Linked DNA regions of Styela clava. The protein of the gene in region 1 purifies or fractionates together with the protein of each later gene. This does not show direct contact. Links are inferred from orthologs where the notes say so. Each region holds a gene or a part of one and is shown in the gene's direction. Other genes may lie near its edges. The genes, in order: tRNA pseudouridine synthase Pus10-like and protein Abitram-like.

Region 1 (11,715 bases):
ATAAATAATAACTAGAGCTGCGTGCAGCTTTAACAGGCTTCCCGCGTAAAAAAAACTGAAGACGCGTTTCGTTCACTGGAGCGTGAAAGCGTGGTTAGTCATGCATAAAATTTGCAGTTTACGATGGGGGACTTATTATCTGCATGTGATGTAAATTTCAAGTCTCTAAGTATTGTCGTTCTCGAGAAGAAGATGAAAATGTGAAATCCTATATTGCTCACTGGAGCGTATCGCCGAGGTCTCTCATGCGTATCCTTGACATATTGTATCCGGAACATGTCCATTAATCATTGTTATGAATTTCAACCCAATACCATGTATCAATTTTGAGAAATCGCAAAAAAACTGAAGACGCGTTTTGCTCACTGGAGCGTGAAAGCGTGGTCAGTCATGCATAAAATTTGCAAGTTATGATGGGAGACTCATTATCTGCATGTGATGTAAATTTCAAGTCTTTAAGTATTGTCGTTCTCGAGAAGAAGATGAAAATGTAAAATCCTATATTGCTCACTGGAGCGTATCGCCGAGGTCACTCATGCGTATCCTTGACATATTGTATCCGGAACATGTCCATTAATCATTGTTATGAATTTCAACCCAATACCATGTATCAATTTTGAGAAATTGCAAAAAAACTGAAAACGCGTTTTGCTCACTGGAGCGTGAAAGCGTGGTCAGTCATGCATGAAATTTGCATTTTATTGCTAGCTGAGAACTTCTGCACATTTGAGGTGAATTTAAAGTTTGTAGGACCAATTTGAAAAAAAAAAATAATAATAATAATAATAATAATAATAATAATAATAATAATAATAAATAATAATAATAAAACACAGGAATACAATAGGTTCCCTGCTGACAAGCAGCGGGAAGCCTAATTAACGTCGTCATTGTGTAACAATACATGTATATGCCGAGGGAAATTTTTGATTTAAGGAGAATAAACACCGGCGTAAAGATGTTCAAAACACGCCATGCTGACGAAAAAAATCGGCGATTGTAACAAAATAAAATCGCGCACGTTATTAGCGGCCTGTTAAGTCTTCCAGAAATGTCAAAAGAGAAAAGATTCGACCCCTAATTTATTAATATGTTCGTCAAGTGTCAAATTTACAGCTTTAGTATGAAATTCAGATTCATTTATGGCTTGTGTTAATCCTATTAAAAAAGGTTCAGCATTTTGAATAAGTAAAGTACTTTTAACTTGCCCAGGAATATTAATCTGAAAGTAACAATTTTAACATTTATTTTGGGGCTCCGCAAATAATATTCAACTTTTCAAGGGCTCCGCAACACCAAATGTTTGAGAACCCCTGCTCTATGGGATTATTGGGATACGTTTTTTGTGTGCTGATTTGTCCTCTAAGACATATTGAAAACCCATACTACTTAGTTCTGATCTTCGTGTCCAAATGTTTAAACATCGCGCTCGTGTTTGATTTCATTTGGTATTGTTTAAGTGGGTATATTCTCTCGGTGAGCTATGTCGAGGAATCGAGAATCGGGATCGAAAATTTTAAGAATCGAATACTTGTAAGTAGTCATACTCACGACACAACTTTAACTGATGGGTCAAATTTTATTGCTGAAATGTAATCAGGGTGTGTACAGAATTGAATTATGATAGTAAATTCTGTCATAGGCCTAGGCTTTGTAACAAAAACAAAATGTTTTGTGGGACAACAATTTCAAAAAGCACTCCTGTTCGCGGCTATGGAGCCTTCTTCAAAAAAGTTTTTATTACACTCATTTCATTAATTCTCCATTGTATAGCTGCGAATGACGGCGTTTTGACTTGTCAGCGCGTTATACCAAGATAAGCCACCAGCCTAGGTGGGTTTGTTTATTTTCCGCAATGAAGGCAAATAAGATTGTAATATTTGAAAAATATATCCAGTTTATGATTTTAAAATGTTTTATAACTGTTTTCCTTTTTTGTACAAAAACCACTAAAAAAATCCTGCATCAAAACCTGAACGTAATTTCAGTTCATTGCTCTTACGGGCTCTCAAAATCTAGCAAAAAAAGTTTTTTTTCGAAATGGGGTAGTTAAAGCAAATAAATTATCTCAAATATATTCCAAAACAGAATCTACCGTGTTTCCCGAAAATAAGACCTACCCTGAAAATAAGACCTAGCCTGAATTTTAAAAATGATTTTAATATAAGCCCTCCCCTTAAAAAGAGACCTAGTCAATAAAGTGAATTTATTTTTAGACCTAGTCGATAGCAAGAAATCTCTACTACGCGTTGTAAATAATTGATAATCTATGTTTTAAAGTTATTTTGAATAAAAACTCTTATTTATAAGTAACTGGATATAGGTTTCCATATTTTGTATATTTGAAAATCTCGTAATTCTCCACTTTGTAATTTTGTTTTTGATTAATGAATCCCCAGAAATCAAGCCCTAGTGTTATTATGCGGAAGGAAATTGAAATAAAACCCAGTCTTATTTTCGGGGAAACACGGTATGCTATTTTATATAAAAAAGCATGATAATACTGATTTTGGAGTAAGCTTTGGCAGTAATAGAATTGAATAGAATAAAATCATTAAATATTTGAAGGTTACAATTGATGACGAACTGAGATCAAAACTCGTATATGTAATATTTTACAGATTAAGGCAGATTGGTGGTATATATATATGTTGTTAAGCAACTTTTATTTCAGTTTTTCTAATTGAATGTATAAGGCGCGGCGGTGTGGCTCAACGGGATAAGCGTTAGGAATACGCTCGCCACCGCACCTCTAATTACTCTGCGTGGGTTCGTAGGTTCGAATCCCATGCAGGGATGGTTATGTGCGAGAGGATCGCTGGACTCGACTCCTCGCCGTCTTATCGACTTTCCTCTCCCCCGGGATAAATATGTAAATCCTATCTTAATGCTGAAGTACTGGCAATGCCGAGGTACTGGCATATATTCAGGTCAAGGCCCAGCAACAAAGTCTTTCTTTCAGGCAGTTTGAATTTTGGAAAATTGCGAACACCGACGAGCAGTCAAATACATTTTCTCGAAATCCCACCTTTTACTTCACAATCACATGGCCCGCCAGACTAGGTGGGCAAACTTTTCGGCCCTTGGTTTAAAAACCTTGCCCACCCCTGGACCATAGATGTTACATGAAAACAAATTGTTATGCATTGTCTCTGCCTGAACTCATCGAACAATGTCAGTTGTAGCAAGTACATAAGGATAGTTACTGTGTATTTTAATATTTTCACCACTTATTGTTAGTAGTGCATGTTATTTGCCTGAAACAAGGTCGTTGTCCCAATTCATTTCCTATATGATATATTTTTCTCACTCAGTGTAGCTCGTCTTTGCCGTTCTTTGTTAGTTAGAAATTTGGTTTCATCACATATACTTGCTTTAAGGTTTCAAGTGTAATTCGTTATTTGGATCAATTCGATTGTGCAACTTTACAATTTAACAATTGGCATTCAATACATTGTGTGCTTTTTGACCTCTGGAGGAGTCAAGATCGGAGTTACACTCTGTTAACGCGTGTTCAATAACACAAGTACATAAGGATAGTTACTGTGTATTTTAATATTTTCACCACTTATTGTCAGTAGTGCATGTTATTTGCCTGAAACAAGGTCGTTGTCCCAATTCATTTCCTTTATGATATATTTTTCTCACTCAGTGTAGCTTGTCTTTGCCGTTCTTTGTTAGTTAGAAATTTGGTTTCATCACATATACTTGCTTTAAGGTTTCAAGTGTAATTCGTTATTTGGATCAATTCGATTGTGCAACTTTACAATATAATAATTGGCATTCAATACATTGTGTGCTTTTTGACCTCTGAAGGAATCAAGATCGGAGTTACACTCTGTTAACGTGTGTTCAATAACACGGGAGTGTGGACACGCAGATAGGGTCGAATCTTCGTTACCCTATACAGTGTCTCACTCGATCGTGTCACTTGTCGTCAGTCACCTGGCACACTTTTCAATTTTTTTTCAATGAATAAAAACATCACATTATATAACCACAATAGCATAAATATAATTGCATTTTAAAAAAACGAGCACATAATAGTTTTCCACTTCTTCTTATGGATTGACAGTTTACCATTTTTAGTTGCAATAGTCTTTTCACAGTTTATATTATTTTTTATCCTATATAAAAATTGGCAAAATTGAGGCTTTCCATTACGCAGTTTACATTTGTATATAAAATATCTGACACATAATAAAACACAGTTTATACCCTGGTTTTGCCCTACCCCCAATAACATTTCTCTATGTAACAAATTAAGGTTTAATCCATTCTCAACGGTTAACCAAGCGTTAACTATTTCCCAGAATTGCTGCACAAATTCACAGAGATAAAATAAATGTAACACAGTTTCAACATGAAAATTACAAAATGTACAATTTGGACTTTGTGTTTTATTTATTCTATATAGCAGGTCATTAGTGGGCACTGCTCGCAAAACAAATTTAACATGGAATGAACGAAGTCTGGATTCAATAACGCAATAAAAGACTTTTTCATACAATGTCACCCAATTATCTAAGTTCCTGCACAATTCTTTTGACCATTTTTTCTATTTTTTCAGTTGGCGGCAAAAAATTTTCATTACAAAGTTTATCATAAATATATCGAGAGGTTTTATCATTGCTTTTTACATCTTCGATCAGACTAAGAATAAGATGTGGATTGACTTGTGATGTTTTTGAAAAATTAGTTTTCCATTCCTGGGGTATACATGATATCCATTTATTACTGAATTTCGTATGATATCTCAAATTTCACTGTTGTATTTGCATTCATAGGAACTCGTTATCTACCCTGTCCGATGACGCTGTTTAATGTCATTTCTCTGTCACACGTGGCGGCCTACGTCAAGGCTGTCCTGAATAAACTTCGCTCTGAACGGCAATTTTATTGGGGAACACGGTAATATGACATCTTTGCCACTACTGATATTTCACTAGCATTTTGTTAGATATGAATTTTGCCTTCCTTCCTACAGTCTTGGTAGGAGGTCAGCAAGGATCCGCGTGAGCTGCGTCGAGCGTCGGTTTGCCAGAATTTACCGTATTCAGCTTAGGTTTTATATGTTGAGCGATTGTAAGACTGGGAAACTGTCATGTTATGGAGGAGTCGTCTTCCAATTATGGGTTAATAATTGATCAAATGAAGATGGAGATCGAGGAATATAAAGTTGATTCTAGTCGTTTTCGTTCTATTCTTTCGTCCGTTCATTTGCCATCAGAGTTATCAAACATAGGAAAACTCTTGGCAAAGTCATTACAAACAACTTCTGATGCATTGGATGTTATAACACCCTGTGCATTGAATTTAACTTTGGCTTTAAGCGATCTAAGCCAGGAGTTGCAGGAATCTGAGATAACGCTTGATTCAAGTCAAAAAAGAATACAAAATTATAAAAGTAAATTTTCTGATATACTTAATACAAAGGAGTTTTGGCGACGTGAGCTGTCACGACTTGAATCGTTAGAAGAGCAGCAACAGCAAGAGAGCAGCAACACAAAGAAATCAACTTCATTTCATTCAAAAAAGATCAAACAATATGACGCCGAATTACGGTCAAATAAACAATTACTTTCATCAGCTGGTTATGAAGACAATATATCGCATGAAACATTAGTATCTTTAGGAAATGAAGTTTCCGAAATGGAAATGAAATTGAAGCCGTTAAGACTTCAGTTAAATTCATATAAAGATCTGCAACCAAGTCTTGCTCAAGCTCAAATAAAACTTGAAGAAAAGAAAATTGAGTTTAAACAAGTTGATAAAGAATTTTCTGATAAACTTGGTGAAATTGGTGCAAATGCACCTAGTCTATGATTCCTATATTTTACATGTGGTATTGTTTGCTACCAGGTAGCGCCACATGTCTGCATATATTTTGAGGTAAACTCAAATGCCCATACTTATTCCCTGGTTTAAAAATGAGAAATGCATAAATAATTTTCATGTGAAATTGCATAAATGTAAATGCTGATCAGTTCATAAAATAGTATGAACGTTAATGTCTGAATGTGCACTTTTGAAGATGTAACAAATTGGTATCAGACCAAAGCCATTCACTTTTGTCATATACTTGTGATTTTAGGTGTTACATTGGAGTTGACATTTCAGCTCAGGGTCAGAGTTGTGAATTAGCATAAAACATTCAACATTAAAGTTTCTGTGATAAACATGACAGCTATTTCTGATTCATAGTCTTAAAATAGAAAAATATAGTTGGAGATACCTTTGGGAAGCTTATAGAATAGAGTTGGTACTTCAGCCTGTGATCCCTATGTACACCTTCAAGTTTCTTGAATAGTTTAGATATGAAAAGATGGACTGTTATTTCAAAAATTTGCTCAGCATCACTATTATATAGAAAATGTTTTGTTATAGATGCATTGTTAATAATTGATTTTTGGACTGCCCTGTTAAATTTTTTATGGAAGTGTTGCTGTTTTCACTTGAATAGAAATCAATGTCAATCGGGCATTGGCAGGATGTAAATACATGTTTTCTTCAATTTTGTGTATTGGTGGATTCTCCCAGAAATAAAAAGACTCTGTGCAAACCATGTTTCAATCATATATTTACCTTCCTACTTAGTAAATATTTTGCATCAAATCTTTGAGAATGTTGGATAGAATCAACATATGAACTTTGCATATTCACCACATGGACTTGGAGCTTGTTGAATGCTCATATTAAGCTATTCTAAAATGTATTAACATATTTGCAATCAACATTTCTATAAATCGACCATACTGCGTTTTTTATAAGAGTATACGTTTTTTTAGCATATCACTGCCATTTCCTAATTTATTGTTTTTTTTAATAGATAATCATTTGTCACATGGCATCATGATGGGTAAAAATCTATGCCCCCGATGCATTTTTATGTTTCTTAATGTTAAAGATGATGAAATATTGAGGAAATCAGAGGAAGAAATTGAGGAAAACCTCATGTCAAGATGGCCCAGTATATTCTCCAAAGAACAAATACTAGATTCCAGTGAATGTGGCGAAATAAAACATTTTTGTCATTCATGTCTTGGCATGCTGCAAGATCAGTTTCTTCATTCTTCAGTTGAAAATATAGCACAAAAGATACAAACTGAACAATATATGTTTAGAAATTTCAGATTGATGATATCGCAACCAGTCCAATTTATTCTTTTTCGAGCTTTCGTTCAACATCATTATAAGAGTGTTATTTCGGATCACAAGCGAAATGGAAATGGATTAGATGTTAAAGACATTTTCAAAATTGTTCTTGAACCGAAATTGGAAAAAGCTCTTTGTTCAAAAGCAGTATACAATGATGATGCTGAACTTGAAGTTACTGTGGTAATAAAACATAGTTTTACAGAATCTCACTTGCTCCCGAAAATTGAAAAATGTTTACCTGAATGCTTCAAGCAATCTAAAAAAGTATTGGAAGGGATGACTAGGAAGAGACCAAGAAATGATCTGACAATATTTACGTTATCTGCGGTATGTCAAGCTTCATCAAAATTGAGTCCCAAGGTTTTAGACGACTTGATTGAACAAAGTTATTTTCAAAATTCTGTGTTTTTGGACCAAATTAAAATCTTGCGGACGCCCATTTATGTGGCCGGAAGGTATTGCAAATATTCACGTGAACTTTCGCAAACACCATGGATAATATCTGGTAAAAGAATATCCGAAATGTCAGTTCAAGAATATATTGCAGATCCGATTAAACTATTATTCAAAGCAGATTCTTATAATTTTTCATCTTCTGGACGAGAAGATATTGATGTTCGAATGTTGGGTAATGGAAGACCGTTTTTGCTTGAATTAGTGAATCCACGATTATGTATTGAAGAAAAAAACAGAGTTAAAAAATTGCAAACTGAGATTAATGAGGTCACTGATATAATAAAAGTAAGAGATCTTCAAATTGTAAGTAAAAATGAAACGAAAAACTTGAAAGATGGAGAAGAGGGAAAAACCAAATCATACTCTGCTGTGTGCTACACTAAGATTAGTCATTCACGCCCAAAAGTTAACAAGCTAACGTTGAAAAGTAACATACTCAAATTGTCTGAATTGAAAAATATTAAAATTGAGCAAAAGACTCCACTGAGAGTATTGCATAGAAGAAATCTTGCTGTTCGTTCTCGAACTATTTTTGAACTTGATGTTGAGATGATTGATGTAACCGATGCCGCAAAAATTGTTAAAATGCCAAAGTTCATTCCAAAAGAGTATATATTTTTCAAACTATGTATGACAACACAAGCTGGAACCTATGTGAAGGAATTTGTGCATGGAGATTTTGGCCGAACAATACCACATGTTGGAATTTTGATTGGTGCTGACACTGACATTCTTTCACTAGATGTGGTTTCCGTAAACCTGGAATGGCCGCTATCATTGCCGAATTGATGAATCAAGATTGAATTGTATGGTTGTTTTGAAGAAAATTTGATTTTCCAATTTTTTGCAATTGCATTATTTAACAACCAACAGGTGTGTTGGCCTGTTTAAGCACTGTGGAATAGTTATAATCATTCATATGTTTGTGTGAATCATGTATTGCATTGTCTTCAATACAAGTACCTCGGCATTGCCATATACATTCAATTAGGAAAATTAAAATAAAATTTGGGAAACAATATTGTGAAGCTTATTTCTATATATTTATGTCACCATCTGTGAGTAGGAGAACAAAAAATATCCTGTGGACTGTTAGAAAAGCTGGTAAAGTTACCTGCTTTTGAAGTAGAATACTAAACTACATTTTTAGTGATTATAATTTTTTATCGGCTTCCAGGTATATGGCGTGTCATTTTCAAGTTGTCTTGTAAATCCTTTCCTAATCGAGAAGGGTCCATTGGGCCCGCAGTCGCCAAATAGTTTTTTCAATGGCATACGATGTTATTTCCGTTCTATTCATTTCAATATTTCGTCGGCTAGCCGTTAGGTTCCTCTTTATTTGATCTCGCCTGTCTGTGGTGCAGAAAAGTAGAACCACTGCTGTATTTTATATCATCGGCCAATGGACTTCTTCGTGTGCCTCAAAAAGCACTCGCAAATCTGAATTCCGACGTATTCTAAATATCGCTGGAACGTATCAAAGGTTGGCAGGCGCAACTGTGACGGGGTCGCAAAATTGTTACTGTTAGGTTTTCTGCAAGGAGTTGATATCGTTTTTATCCCGGGATAGAGGAAGCCGATAAGATGTGATCTTTGAGTTGGAAAAGGGGGTTTGTTACTGATAAACTATGCAGAGATGCAAAAATAGACTTGGATAAAAAAAAATCTTGCCTTAAGCTTTTGCTCGCCTGATTCTATAATCAGCTTTTTTTTAATTTATTTCTATCAATTATTTTATCGCCCGTCATGCTGATTATGGAGTCGAAATGTACACTTTTCGTTATTCTAGACTTAGAGTTTCATCGCACCATCTATTGTCCTGCGTTTAACATTATAAATGTTTGTCGCTATATGCGGCGGTGTGGCTCATCGTGCTAAGCTTTAGGAATACGCTCGCCACCGCACCTATGATTACTCAGCGTGGGTCCGCAGGTTCGAATCCCATGCGGGGATAGTTATGTGCGAGAAGATTCCTCCACCATTCCTGCACCAGTGTTAATGTACGGGTGCATTTCACGTGTGTATATGTACGTGGGTGTAAAGATAATGGGACAATTACCACTTTAAACACATTGCATTAAGTTTTTTAAATTATATACAAGCACGGCGAAATTCGAGTGCCGCCGTAAGGTGGTTATGTTTTAAATACCTTGCCTGACCCAACCCAAATGAACGAACTAGTGAGACAACAATTACTCACACAAACAAGAAGATTTTTTGAAAAAAATAGACTTTATACCACAAAAGTTTCTAAATAGCCTCACTACAATAAAATAACAGATAATACTCTTATTAATAGGTATGTTGTTCATCAACTACATAAAATACAAAATTCACAACATGTTCCCCAATAACAAAATCAAATTTTTGGATTTTGCACTCCGCTGGCCAAACACAACATCTACCTTAATATAAAATCAAAGTTCCGAACAAAATCATTAACTCATTTTTGCTGATAAGCAGAAGCAATATAAGCAATACTTTTTTATTATTTTTAATAGCCAAGACATGTGTTGTGGAGAAAACATGTTTACCAAGCATGTGACCTAATTTACATGGATAGTCCAAAATAAGAAGTTAGAGTTGATTGACTTCTAATGCATCTTCTGCTATTATACTATTGCTCCTCATGCTCAAATTTTAAATGTTTTTGGCAGTAAGGCCAATAAGATTAGTAAATGTTGAGTGAACTATAACCTGCTTCATTGTGTTGTAAGTAATACTAATCATTACTAAATATTGGAAAACAACAATCAATACCCATGCTGCATTTTGCCCTTTCCAATCTGTTTTTGGCCTCTAATAATCTAGATTCAATGAATTAATCAAAAAATATAAATTCGATTTGACTCAGATTTGATTTTAAATCAGAAGCCTCTTGTCAATCAAGGTTTTTCTTGCTAAGTTGTATCTGCCAAGTATTCCACGAAGAGATTTGAACACCTAAAGATGAATATAGTGATATATTGTAAAATTTAATCTGCATTCAAGAGAATCTGAGTAATTTTGATTATAAACAATAAAGCTCAAGTAAACTCACCCCACCAACAATGTATGTGATGACAGCAGCAAGAACAAAGTTTTTAGATCCATAATCAACCAGAGAAAATAGGAGAATATCAAACACAAGTAAAGCAAACTCATGTCCATAAAACAGGATATCAGCAAATGAGTAAGCATCATCTGGTAAAAAAACACAGAGTAAGAAGGTTATGTACCTGTATCATATGTTCGATTTTAAATACAAACTCATAAATTTCTTCACAATTGTTGGAACATAATGGGATTTGGAATCTACCAATCAAAATACCAGCACAATACCACTGGATTGATAAACAGGGGCCAATAGTGATAAAAGCCTCCAGGAGGGGGCCAAGAGCCATAAAAGGTTGGGAACTACAGCTCTAACATTCGTAGATGACTAGGGTTCTGTTTTTTTGGTCACACAGTATCTAATCAATCTTTTGCTTCTGTCGAGGAAGGGAAGCAATAAGATATTGCTGGAACTAGCGTCACTGAAGAATATCAGATATAGGATGATCTGCTGCTCTTCACAAAGAATATCAGTACTTTTGGCCAATTAAACTTACCAATCGTAAAAAAAGCTTTATCAATAGGTTCTTGAAACTCAATGTTGAGAAGTTTTTCCAGGAATAACTTGTCTCTGACATTGTAATCCAAATCACGTAGCGACTAATAAAACAAAGTTTCATATTATTAACCCTAGAAATCCATGAATGTCAAGCTTAAAAGGTTTTTCCAGATAACACTGCTATTAGCAGTAAAAAATGATACACAAATTTCAAAGTTTAACCGACATAAATAAACAGTGACAACTAATTGAATACATCTGTGACCAAGAGCCAAATTTAATTTGTCAATAAAGCAGGAAGTGTTTTTATGAATTTTCATGTTAAAAAGTTTGCTGATGATTTCTAACAAAATATTCTTACATGATTAATGAACGATGTCAAAAATGTCCTCATAGTGCTGTAAGCTTTCATACTTTCCGAAGTAATGCCACCTGTGCTCTGTCCACCACCTAGAATAGGACAATTAGACTAGACATTCAGCATACAAGGAACAAGTGTAAAACTTAGT
Region 2 (12,299 bases), on another chromosome or scaffold:
CTTTCAATGAGAGTGAACAAAGTCAAAATACTCGCAGAAACCCAGAAAGCATTAGGTTTACTAAGCGTTCTTATTAACAGTCTTTTAACCAAAGGTTTTGGGTTTTTTGAGCTGGATCATAATCTCATAAACGTCCGGGATTGAAGGTTGGGATTTTTGTCAACTTAGACCCCACGTTAAATTCTTTTTTTAAATGGCACTATAGTTGATTATAAATTTTCCCACTCGACATCTCGAATGAATATACCCTACATGTTATATTTATCTTTCATTATTATTTTTATCATGCTATTGAAATAGGACAAGCTCAACCCTTAGGGCCCTAGAAAAGTCTAACATTTTTCATTTTTCTTTATATATTTCAAGTATTCATGTGCCAAGTCTTTGAAAATCTGGTGTTTCTTAGCTACTGCTTCCAACACTATCCAGTCTATCTGTGTGTTCATATATCTGAACAACTCAAAGCTTGGATTTTTTACTTTGTTAATTCCATGTCAAAATATGAAAAAATTTACAATATGTTCAAATTGTTATAAATAGGCCATAAGAATATTTTTGAAAACCTTAATCAGTATATATAACTCATAAGTATAGATATGCTTGGAATGCGGGGATGTGTACTCCTAATCCACTTTTAAGTCAGCTCAACCAGCCTTCATTGTTCCTGGTAGTGCGTTACAAAAGTGGTATAGTAATGCGGATGAAAATATAAAGATGTGTCTTAAAATTTGTTTTAAATTTTAAGCCATTTCTGTTTCTTACGCATTGTTAATGAGAGTGGATGGACTCTTTTCTGTATTGCCTGTCCTAGTCTGACAACATACAAATTTAAAAATGGAGTATATTGATTGAGAGTTTTCACATAATATAAGATATTCACTGATATAAGAAAGAGTTCATATATTGTATTTATGGCTCCTTTGACCAAATTCTTAGTTATCATGATGTCTATGTCTAGGGATATTCAAAACAAATGGAAAATTTAGGAAATTGAAAAATCAAAAAACAGCTTTAATTGATTTCGAAAATAAAGAACAAATCTAATCATTTTTTTGTTATGACTCTCCTGCATTATCAATTTGAAATTCTTTGAATAAACATAAACTTCTACATATTATCTGTTCTACATGACCCTATTTGAATTATTCTATAGGCTATTTATTCCATATTTGAAATTATTATTCAGGAAATTTTTCGGAATACTATAATATTTGGTTTTTGCCATTCCAGACTGTGCTAACGTTAATTGTTGATATTTAGTATACTAATCAAGTCTGGTATATCTCTCTTTGGTTTAATTTTTATTGATATGTAGAAGCCTACGGTAAATTTTTTTTTAATTTCATAATCAAAACAGGTCTGTTTTATCCATTGAGATTTGTTGAATTTTCTTGGTCTCTTATTCCTTTTAAATATTATTAACCCTAATTTATTTCCTTGTTCAGTGCTGAAACAGTGCCAACACAGGAACCAGCCTCTGTGTCAGATGAAGGTGCAGATGCAGATGAACCTTCATGGGGTGTTTTATATCCAATTGATAGATGCTTTTATCCTTTTGGTTAGTAAACTATTTTACTTCTTCTTCGTACTAATCTTGGACATATTTATGTATTGACAACAAAAATCAACTATAATATATATTGACCTTTCAATGGCAACTTAATGCTGTCAATAAAGACGTATCTATAATCTTTGAAAAGTCCGGAATTTTTTTGTTTTGGTACTGTCAGCCTAATTTATTAATGCCTGGGTGTGATGATATTGATGGCCATGGTGTTTGAACCCTAAATTTTCAATCTGCCATACCAACATGATTAGGTCTAATATACGTTCGTAATTACTGATTCATCATGGCCAATTTTCTAATAATAAAACATCAGTGATACTAAAGGGGTATTGGCAGTTAGTCTGTTATCAGTGTATAGACGACTAGGTCAAAAACAGTCTGGTCAGAGGAAAATTTAGCGCTCTTGTTTTCCTATAGCAGAGACCTTGTAAGAGTTTGTAATACTTTTCTTATGGCCTATTCATAATGTTTCTTTCCCCATTTTATTTTCAGACCTACGGGAAGATATATATACATTTGGTCGAGGACAGGATTGTACTTATACGTTTGATATTCCTTCAATAAAACAGACACAACATTTTACCACATATAGCAAAAAACATTTCACAATCACAAGGGTAGGTTTTTGTAAGTACTTTTTATTTTAGTCAGAAGTTCGAGTTTATTTTTGCCGCCTACTTGTTTAAATAGTAGGCCTATTTTAAAAGTGTCAAAGTTTTTGTTTTTTTTGGTAAAGTTGACTATGCTGTTTAGTATTTAATTTATTATTAATGAGTTATTTTTTGAATTAGTATGAAACTGGGTATGTATTAAAAATTTATTCTACCTGACATTTTAACCAGGCGAAAGGGTGTGGTTCATCATAAGATTAAACTGCCCTCTTATCCCTTCCCTTTCTCACAGTATAAATTTGAATATCAGTCCCACCTACCGGTAATTATTTAAATAGCACAAAAATGAATGAATGGAAATTTTGTACATCTGAATGAAGCATAATATTAATATTAGATTTTATACGATTCCTACTTGATCTTTTATAGAAGAACAGAAAAATAGTTTCAAGCTTTATTTTGTTAAACAACTTTTTTCAGACAAAAAGTAACACAGGCACGTACACTGTTATGTTGGATGACTCCAGCATGAACGGAGTTTTTATCAACGGAGAAAAAATTCCCAAGAGAGGTTCCAGACCACTCTGTGATAAAGATGAAATATCAATTAGTTCTGATAAAAATAGAGGTCAGTTGTAAAATATTATCAAGTACGATTCATGCAAGGCTGTGTCTCCTAAGTGGTTATCTTCATCATTGTTCTATATTAGAATGTTATAAATAGTTTATAATAGAGAAAATAAGTTTCAAGTTAGCTTATAACTCAAAAGTATAATTTATATAGCAGTTTTTTTTAAAACTAATAGAATAATATCATAATTAATGATTCCGATAAATAATAATATCTATGATCTAAAAATTCTTTAAATTATGTAACGCTTTTTTTGTTGTGACGTGTTGATTCAATAATACAAAGTTATTTCTTTAAATCTGATAATTGAGCAATTATCTTGGGGATCGTGGTCAATGTTCTAAGTCAGAAGTCACTAACTTTTCAAACCCAAAACAATGTACTTCCTGTAATACAAATCAGGACAAAACTGAAAAGAAAATTTTGTTTTAGAAACACTGAATTTTACCAATAGATGCCATTGACAAACAGTAGTATGTGATTCAAAACATATATAATATTCAATTTATTGAAAATTCTGTCCTGTTTGTTATAAAATATATCCAGTTTGCTCAAAGCAAGTTTCAGATCCTTCAACTATAAGTTGAAATAGTAGTGAGTAGTGACAGATAGGTGTAAGTGACATAGGAATTGCTAAGGGCGAATTGGATAAAGCATATAAGCTCTTTATTGAGACCTACATTGTCAATTTTGACGCCATGTTTACCGGTATGTAATAAATGTTTATTTTTTCAGTTTTGTTATTCTTTGATAAAAGCAAAGAAGAAGATCCCAATCTTCCTCAAAAATTTAAAGAGAAATATATCATGCAGAAAGTTATTGGCAAGTATGAACATTTTTCATCAACTTTTCTCTAAGCTTTCAGGTATAGTTGTCAATATATTTATCGGTTGCTATTTTGTCCACCTATTGTTAATTACGGTAGACACAGTTATATATATATTTAAAAAATCCAAATTTTTGCTTTTAACTGCAAATCTACACCTCTGAAAATTGTACTCAAATTGTAGCCATAATCTTGTCTTTAAATGGCAAACATAAGCTTTGTTTGGATTTGGCTTCCTCCATCACCAAATCGATACATCTGAACTGAATAACTGGTGAACTATTCCCATACCCAATATGGACTGATACCTGGGTGAGAGAACATGGTTTGCCATTTGATTAACCTTTGACCTTGTTAGCTTTCTTGTGAAACACCATATCCTGAAATGTCATTGCGTAATAAAAATCTTATTTCTTCTTGTTTTCAGTGGTGCCTTTGGTGAAGTAAGAGAAGCTATGCAAAAATTTGGTGGTTATGGAAGACATGCAGTAAAAATAATAAACAAACAAAAAACTGTATTTCATGGAAGAGATCCAGGCAAAGTACGTAAATATTCTTCACAATTCAGTGAATGAATGGCCTGGATGACATAATATAGCACTTCAAACTTTAAAATGTGATTCCTCATCCTTCAAGGAGGCAGGATTAATAATTTCCCTGGTACAAAATTCACGCATCTCAGGTTCAAATCCCATCGCCATCACTTGGGCTGGTGTAATTAACTGGGTAGGCAATGCCGAACTTGAATGATTATAGTTCGTGTAAAAATAGTAGCTCGCATGTCATCAGATATCAGTTGTGCTTGTATATGGCCTTGTTCGAGACAGAAGGCATGAATAAGTGTCGTGTGAAAAAATTCTTCTCTTTTTTATTAGATCAATGAAGATGTACTGAAAGAAGCCAGACTACTTCTTGCTTTACGCCATCCGTGTATTATAAGAGTGGATGACGTCATCGATTCTCCTCAAAATCTATACATCGTACTTGAACTGTAAGTCTAGAATGAAGTTTTTTGCAGTGCAAATATGTAATAAAGATTAGCTGCATGCCTATGCCAAATTATTTTTCGAAACAATGCTTGGAAACTTTCATTATTCTGCATTACCATATTCAATTTTACAATGATTTTTGCCGATTCTGTGACCCAATCAAAATATATTCTATATTTGGAAATGTTATTTTGGAATGTCTTCAGAATAGTTGTTAAATTTTGGCACTCCATGGCTGCAAACATCTTTAGCTATTTTTTATCAAATAGTTTAGTGAAACTACCTTATTTGGGGTGTAAAATGTTTTGTTTTCAAGTTTATATTTACGGTAACAGAACTAAAATACATAACCAGAACAGTATAAATTACATAATTCGCTGGGAGAAATTTAATTGTGATTCCATCATTATCTGTTTTTGTGTGAGCACAACAAGCTAACATGGACCTATCATTGTGCTTCGCTGTATTTTAAAATCATTGGATAGTCTGCTATTTGGTTGAAGTCGTAATGTATAATATGAACCATATCTGTTTTGATTAATATTTCAGAGCCTGTGGAGGAGAGCTCTTTACTAGAATTATTGAAAGAGGGAAAGGTTTTGATGAACCAGTTGCAAAATTATTATTTTTTCAAATGTTATCCGCTGTATCTTATTTACATGATAACAATGTAACACATAGAGATTTGAAACCTGAGAATATATTAATGATGTCTGATGATGAAGAATGTCTAATAAAGGTGAGAATCAGGATTGGATTTTTGTTTCTTTTGATGTTTTCGTATGAGGTGTTTACACTTGAGCAACCACAGATGTGTTATGAGGAACTATTTTTGTGAGTACCTTCCTCTTGTTTGCATTGCATACCCAATTTATTGGTAGGGGATGGGTTTTGAACTCAAGATCCACAGCATAGTCTCATTTTTTTTAGTTGAAATAATTGATAAGCCAATATTTCGTTGCAAACTCTGTTCCATTTATTTTATTCCATACATTCAGATTACAGATTTTGGTGTTTCAAGGCTCGTGGGTGAAGCTTCCATGATGAAAACACAGGCTGGTACTCCTTCCTATCTTGCTCCAGAATTAGTTAAATCATTCAGAAGTTCTACTAATGAAGGATATACTAGACAAGTCGATAGTTGGAGTCTTGGTGTAATACTATATGTCTGGTATGGATTTTTATATTTATTCAACTTGAAGAGCCAAACTGGCTAAATTGAAAACCAATATATAGGTATATATCTTAGCTTGTAAATATAGCTTAATATTTCGTTCATCAGAAATTTCGATATGTTTGGCATTTTTAATTGATTGGGCTCTTGGTCATGTATATTTTTGTAATTTCTGTAGTTTTAAAGGTCTTTACATTGGTAGTTAAAAATGTTACCTCTTCTATGAATTTCATGCACTCTTTACTTCTTGTTCTTGACCTCTTTGAAATATTGTACAAACAACCACAAGTACTTGCTTATCACCCAATTTTGGTAATTGTCGATCAGTGAATGATACGACAGAAAAAGCGTGGTGGTGCGAAAAGTGACGGAGTCCCGAATCCTGATCAAAGACCTGACAGTCAGTAAGGGTAGATTCGAAGACTGACCCACTTTGTTTCTCATCCATAATACTGTAATTTACCTGCGAGCTTCATTTATCTATTTTGTAAGTAGAGATCATTATTTTCTCTTTCAGTTTGGTTGCTTATCCTCCATTTTCAAGAGATCGCCAAGATACAAAGCAAGGTCTTCTGCAGCAGATAACAACTGCATATTATAATTTTGATAATGATAGATGGAAAAGCGTATCAGATAATGGTAAAATTACTAACTACTTATATCTCAAACACCTTACTTTATAAGGTTATTTCATTTGCTAGACACTCACAAAGAATGGTACTTTGGTGACATTGCTCTCTCTTTTTAGAAATGTTTCGTTAATTTTTATTATCAGCAATTTTTTAAAATTTATAGATTTTGCTTCTTATTCTTTTTTGAATGTTAGTTTATTTTGCAGCAATTTCTATGATAAAAGGTCTCCTAACAATTGATGCAAAAAAGAGATTGACGCCAAAACAAGGTCTGGATCATGTATGGTTGAAGGTGGGTTATCTTTTAATCTGTTAACCAATTAACCATTCTCAGCCTTATTAGATATGATGTATTTTACTCGAGCCTTGAGAACCCAAACTATAGAATGATTAAGATGAAAGTCTACATATTAAATTGATATGTCGTAATATGCTATTCACAAAATGTGTGTTAATCAAGAGCGTGATATTTAATTCATCAAATTTTTCTGTGAATAAAATTTTTTTCTATCAAGGATGATGTTATGCGGAAAAAAGCACATGCTTTGATGTCTAGTACAATTATCAACAGTCCTTCAGCAAATCATAGTTTAATAAATAAAATCCAGAAAGACAATGAGCTGATTGGTACTGACGGAATCAGCATTGCTGTACAGGAAAAAGAAGTTAGTTCCAGCAGCACGAAATCTGCTTGCATATCGGAAGAAAGAAGAACGGGGAAGCGACATCTTCCGTCTGATACTTCTGGGGAAAGCAACTCAAGTAATGGTGACGGAGATGCTTTACATTTGAAGGAAAAGCATTTTGCAGGGACCTCAGCTGCTGAACCTGATACACCAAAGTTGCACAACCCACCTCACTTTGATAAAAAATGATTATTGCTACAGTAGTACATAAGGATTGAATTTATCTTGTTCACATGAAGGTGACTGATTACTGTTGGTTCTAATCCTGAGCAAAATACTATGTCAGGGTAACTGCAGTTCTGTGTAATTGGAGAAATGTTTTCATCTGAACCCAAACCCAAGCAATTTGACTTTTCATTTTGTGTTTGCATTCCATTTTTTGATCGCAAGCGATGAGCTTTTTTATTTTGGCTAATTTAGCATTAACCTACCTTATTCTATATTTTTAGAAATCTTTTACTGGTTGGAGATCCTGAGCTTTGACTTTGTGAACTTGAATTTGTATCCGCATGCACAAAAAAGCAGGTTTAAGCTAACAGTGTTTTTATTATGGCTAGATTGGCAATAAATAACCTTAATTTGTGTATTTGAGAATCTTCAACTGGTAGGGTATTTGAAGCCTCTGACCCTGTGAAATGTGAAAACAAGTAAGATTTCAGGGCTCAGATGAAATGCTGTGGGATGTAGTTGTAACAGTATGGTTATGTAAGAATGCGAAATTTCACCAATTTATTGCATGCCAATTGCCGACAAAGTCATTGTCTGCTAATGACACAAGCGGATGATACACTCTTGTATTTTTCTTTTTTTCCATCTTTTTTTTATAATTTTCTTTCGTTTTAAACTTTTAGTAACAGAATCAAACTTTTTTGAATAATAATAATGTTCCACTAACACGTTTCACTCTTCTTGTACACTGCCATTTTGTCACTTTTTCATCAGTGCTAATTCATTGGTGCTTTTCAGAGTAGTGGTGAGATGATGTTGGAAGAATTTACTTTTCAATTCAAACTTGGTATTTTTATATTTAAATCATTTGGAACTGTGAATTTGGTCGTCTGTGATTAACATGAAGAAACAGTTTGAAATATTTTGAATTCAAATTATGGGAAGAGAATCGTTATAAGTAACAATATTCCTTTTTTGATATCACTAACGGTAAAGGTCATTATTATGGAAGGCTGTTTCTACCTTCAGGTAATATCGAAATGAAGCCAAAGGATGATCTGACAATTGTAAAAAATTATTGTGATCTGTATACCAGTAAATTTCTCTCAGCAAAGCGATTTTACATCTGAAAAGTTTGCCAAAAACATTTTTACCTGATCACATATCTTTTCCATTTCTCATGTCTATTGCTTTACCATAATATCATGATGCTGTTCATTCAAGTACATTGTCTTTTTATTTCTCAATGAAATCATTTCGGGTGTGCCAATATGTAATTATTTTTTGTACGTTGGTCATTTTAATAAAAAATAAAAATGTTCTTTGTATGCTATGGAGCAGTATAAGTTTCGAAATATGTAAGAGTCTGTTGAATAGGTATATATGTGGATTCTGTCTTGTTACTGCACACGAGACGGTACAGAGTAAAATATGACGGGTATAGATCTTACCTTGTGAATTGAGAAATTCTTGCAAATTATTTTTAGTGCAGGTGAAAGTATGATCATGCAGCAGCTAGCGGACCGTGATAATTGTTGGAAGCTAGTATTTATTGCAAATACCGCCCGTGGATTTTCTGGTCCCCGACCGGTAGGTATGTACGAGGAATGTTGACAAACCGTTAGCCTGTCTGACGTGAACACCAATAAAAAAACGTGAGAGACCCGTGATTAACGTCTAAAACAGCGGTTCCCATATCTTCTTTGTCGTGGACCCTTCTGATGATATTGATTATTCGGTAAAACTAGGTAATATTGTTATTTTATAAGTGGTATTACCTTACAACAATGCTGCGTTATGACTGCAGTTTAATGGTGCTATCGGCAATGTTGACGCGTCATTTCGAGCTTCGGGAATATGCCTTTCATCACAAAGTTGATTGCCCAATGAATACGAATCCGGTGAAAAATTAGTAAGATGTGCAACAAGATTGGGTGACTTTTCGCAGTCATAGGCTGGTTCGCGTAACGTAGAGTCTATGGTCTGAAGTAATACAGTAATAGGTGAACGAATTAAACAAGCTGGAAATTGGCTATTTCTATATTCGATCTGGACTGGCAACCGGAGGAGAAGCTGTGAATGGTCATTCAATTTAAGTGCCTTATCGTCTTTTCCATCTTCCAAAAAAATGAAAAAAAAACTAAATTCAGAATCATATCATACTTCATCTGCTTCAATCCTCCTCCCCACTGTAATCTATAAAAGTTATTTTGACCGTCGCGCATGAATGAGTAGAACATGTGCGCGGTCGTCGCCAAGATCGTACACTCTTTTCAATTGGAGTTTTTGTCCATTTTTTCTAGATCACATTCCTTAGTCGCTGTTGTTCTTTAGCTTACTGGAGAATAATTTCCGCGATTCCGTATCGGAAGTTGTCATGTCAGCGGGCCCTTTCCAACAAACTTTCAAGCCCGTGCCGCCTATGAAAGGCGCGTTTCCACTTGATCATTTCGGCGAATGTGTGATTTTTAAAGACCAGTTTCTAAACTGTTTAAAACGGAATAAACAAGACAATAGCGCCTGTCGAATAGAAGCTAAAGATTATCTCAATTGTCGTATGGAGAAAAATTTAATGAAAAAAGAGCCACTGGAAAGTCTTGGATACAAAGATCTCAAAGAGGAAAAGTGATAGAAGTTGCACGATATCGGGATATCTAACGACTGAACGAGCTGACAGACCGTTTTTTACGTCAAATTTAATTGGAGCTCACGGTATTTTACATCTGTACATTGAAAACTTTGAATAAATTTGTCATGGATACTACAGAAGTATCAGAAAATGCCAGCAAAGTAGAAAGAAATGTTCAGATTCTTGAGAACAAAAATAAAATGAGTGAATGCGCATCTCCTTCTCAGGGGAAGGTTAGTAAAGAAACCCATGATGGGCAAAATATGGGTGTGGTCGATACCGAGCTTGAAATAAAAACTGATAAGAATAATCTTTCTCCAGATAAAAATGATTCTCTGATATCTTTTGCTAATGATAAAGAAGATAAAAGAGAAGATACTGTGATTGCTGTTAATAAAGTTCAAAATGATTCTGATCTGGAGGAATCACCATTCCCATCTGTTGTTGATCGATATTTTACACGACTTTACAAAGTTAATTTACCGAGTGGGACTTTAAACTACGAAGACTTTAAAACTACCCGAAATGATGTGAGAATACTATGGCATTCGAATAAAATATGCCTCGTAACGCTCGCTCCTAGTCATCCTGCATTTTCACCCGACAAAACTATATCAGAAGTTAGTTTCAAGGTCACATTGAAATGTGATCGATCAAATAATAAAGTTTCTGGAAAACGTAAACGAGGAGCACAATGGTTAAATCCAGAAAGTCCTCTCTGTATTGTAACTTTAAGTGATGGAGAAAAATATACAGTGCACAGTGGGATTCGTGGTAATTTAATCGAAGTTAATGAAAACTTGCTGAAATATCCTGAACTTTTGAAAGAAAAACCTGAAACGAATGGCTATATTGCTGTCGTCATGATAAAGTTACAAGAGAGAGAACGTTTGACTAATAATCTTTTGAGTGAATCCCAATATGAAGAATATTTGAAAAAAATTAAAAATGAATTATGAAAAAATTCTCTCTTCAGAATGTCCCTGTTTAAGAGTAAGTCGAAGGGGTTTTGAATCAAATCAAAATTATGCATAGTTTGAAACATCGATTTGAGTAATTTTCACTTATGTAGTGAGTATGAACTTTCAACATCTTTTTGATAAGGTAACATAATTACTTTAAAATTAGATTTACGATTATCTCTGAATTATTGTGTTATTTGATTTTGTTTATATTTCTTAATTTCAACTTCTTCCATTTTTATATATTTTCATTTTTTTAGCAATTATTTTCTTTTGCGTGTTTCATCTCACTTGGCTAGGAAAATGGAAACAAACTTGCTTATCCAGTAAAATTTAGGTATAGAAAGAGGAAAAAAGTCCTTCATTGTGTTTTTATTATCACATTTTTGTGAATGTATCTTTTCATTATCTTGTTAATTATATACTGTAATATGAGTACATTCTCCCTCCATTTTATTTTTTTATGGGAAAGGTGTTGTCCACGGCTTCGATTATGTGATTTTCTTTGGGGTTTTGCAAAAATACCATATTCTCATTTCTGGGCGGGTATCATATGCATGAATGTACAAGAGGAATTAAATGTTTGAATCCATTGGAAAAAATCAACCAAATATTTTTATATTAAAATTCCCGATTTCAAAATATTCTGCATTTTCTGCTTTCACACTCACTGATATAGGTACATTGATTTCACAACCTTTGATGAACCTAAACCATTTTATAATATATTTCAAAATACAATTTTTGAATATATTCAGAATTGTGTATTCAATCCTCGCTATCCCTGATCACATGTCATAACTCAATTTTCATTCACATTCATTTTGTGCTTCTTCTAGTGAATTTATTTATTATAACACCAACATGGATCAAAAGGTACAAAATAAATTATCAGAAATTGACAAAGGAGCAAGTCAAATGCAGCGTGACATAGAGAGGGACTACGTCAGAAAATATCAGAAAAAGGCGTATCTTTGCGGAGCAAATTGTTGTGACAACACATCTGCAAGTGCAGAAGAGGTACAAAGGTGCATTGAAACCTGTCAACGACCACTAGCAGAAATGCAAAACAATGTTAAGCAAGAACTTGAAAGATTTCAGAACAGGATACAGCGCTGTATGATGGCTTGCCAAGATGTTGCGCAAGACCAGGTATCTGCGTTAGGAGAAACGGCTGCCAAAGAAAAATTTGAATCTTGTTTATATAAATGTGCAGAAGAACATTTAAAACTTTTGCCTGGAATTAAAAAGAGACTTATTGATGTTTTACCTAAATAGTTTTTTGATAAATAGAATGAATTGTATGACAGTTTTGTAAGTCAATTGGAGTATTTCAAAGCTCAACCTACCATTCAGCGGCACAATTAAACTGAATACTTCCTTAAATTTAATAAATATTGGCATAAATCAAATTTTTTCACTAT

The links.
Region 2: the proteins of tRNA pseudouridine synthase Pus10-like (region 1) and protein Abitram-like purify together in Homo sapiens (affinity purification with mass spectrometry; 3 studies listed by BioGRID and IntAct, counting the BioPlex papers as one, with this or other methods). This does not show direct contact. The link is inferred for Styela clava from reciprocal best matches to the Homo sapiens genes PUS10 and ABITRAM.

The regions. Positions count from the first base shown.
Region 1 is NC_135263.1:15,850,993-15,862,707, reverse strand, and holds tRNA pseudouridine synthase Pus10-like, read left to right. Parts: upstream 1-6,847; 5' UTR 6,848-6,852; coding exon 6,853-8,403; 3' UTR 8,404-8,635; downstream 8,636-11,715. Other genes in the region: HAUS augmin-like complex subunit 1, read left to right, coding at 5,110-5,826; meckelin-like, read right to left, coding at 10,477-10,557, 10,655-10,797, 11,205-11,307, 11,568-11,656. UniProt on the Homo sapiens protein: Protein with different functions depending on its subcellular location: involved in miRNA processing in the nucleus and acts as a tRNA pseudouridylate synthase in the cytoplasm.
Region 2 is NC_135252.1:13,789,812-13,802,110, reverse strand, and holds protein Abitram-like, read left to right. Parts: upstream 1-9,890; 5' UTR 9,891-10,038; coding exon 10,039-10,872; 3' UTR 10,873-11,714; downstream 11,715-12,299. Other genes in the region: serine/threonine-protein kinase Chk2-like, read left to right, coding at 1,446-1,558, 2,060-2,184, 2,659-2,806, 3,545-3,635, 4,063-4,177, 4,511-4,626, 5,174-5,363, 5,623-5,795 and 3 more; protein FAM136A-like, read left to right, coding at 11,740-12,153. UniProt on the Homo sapiens protein: Actin-binding protein that regulates actin polymerization, filopodia dynamics and increases the branching of proximal dendrites of developing neurons.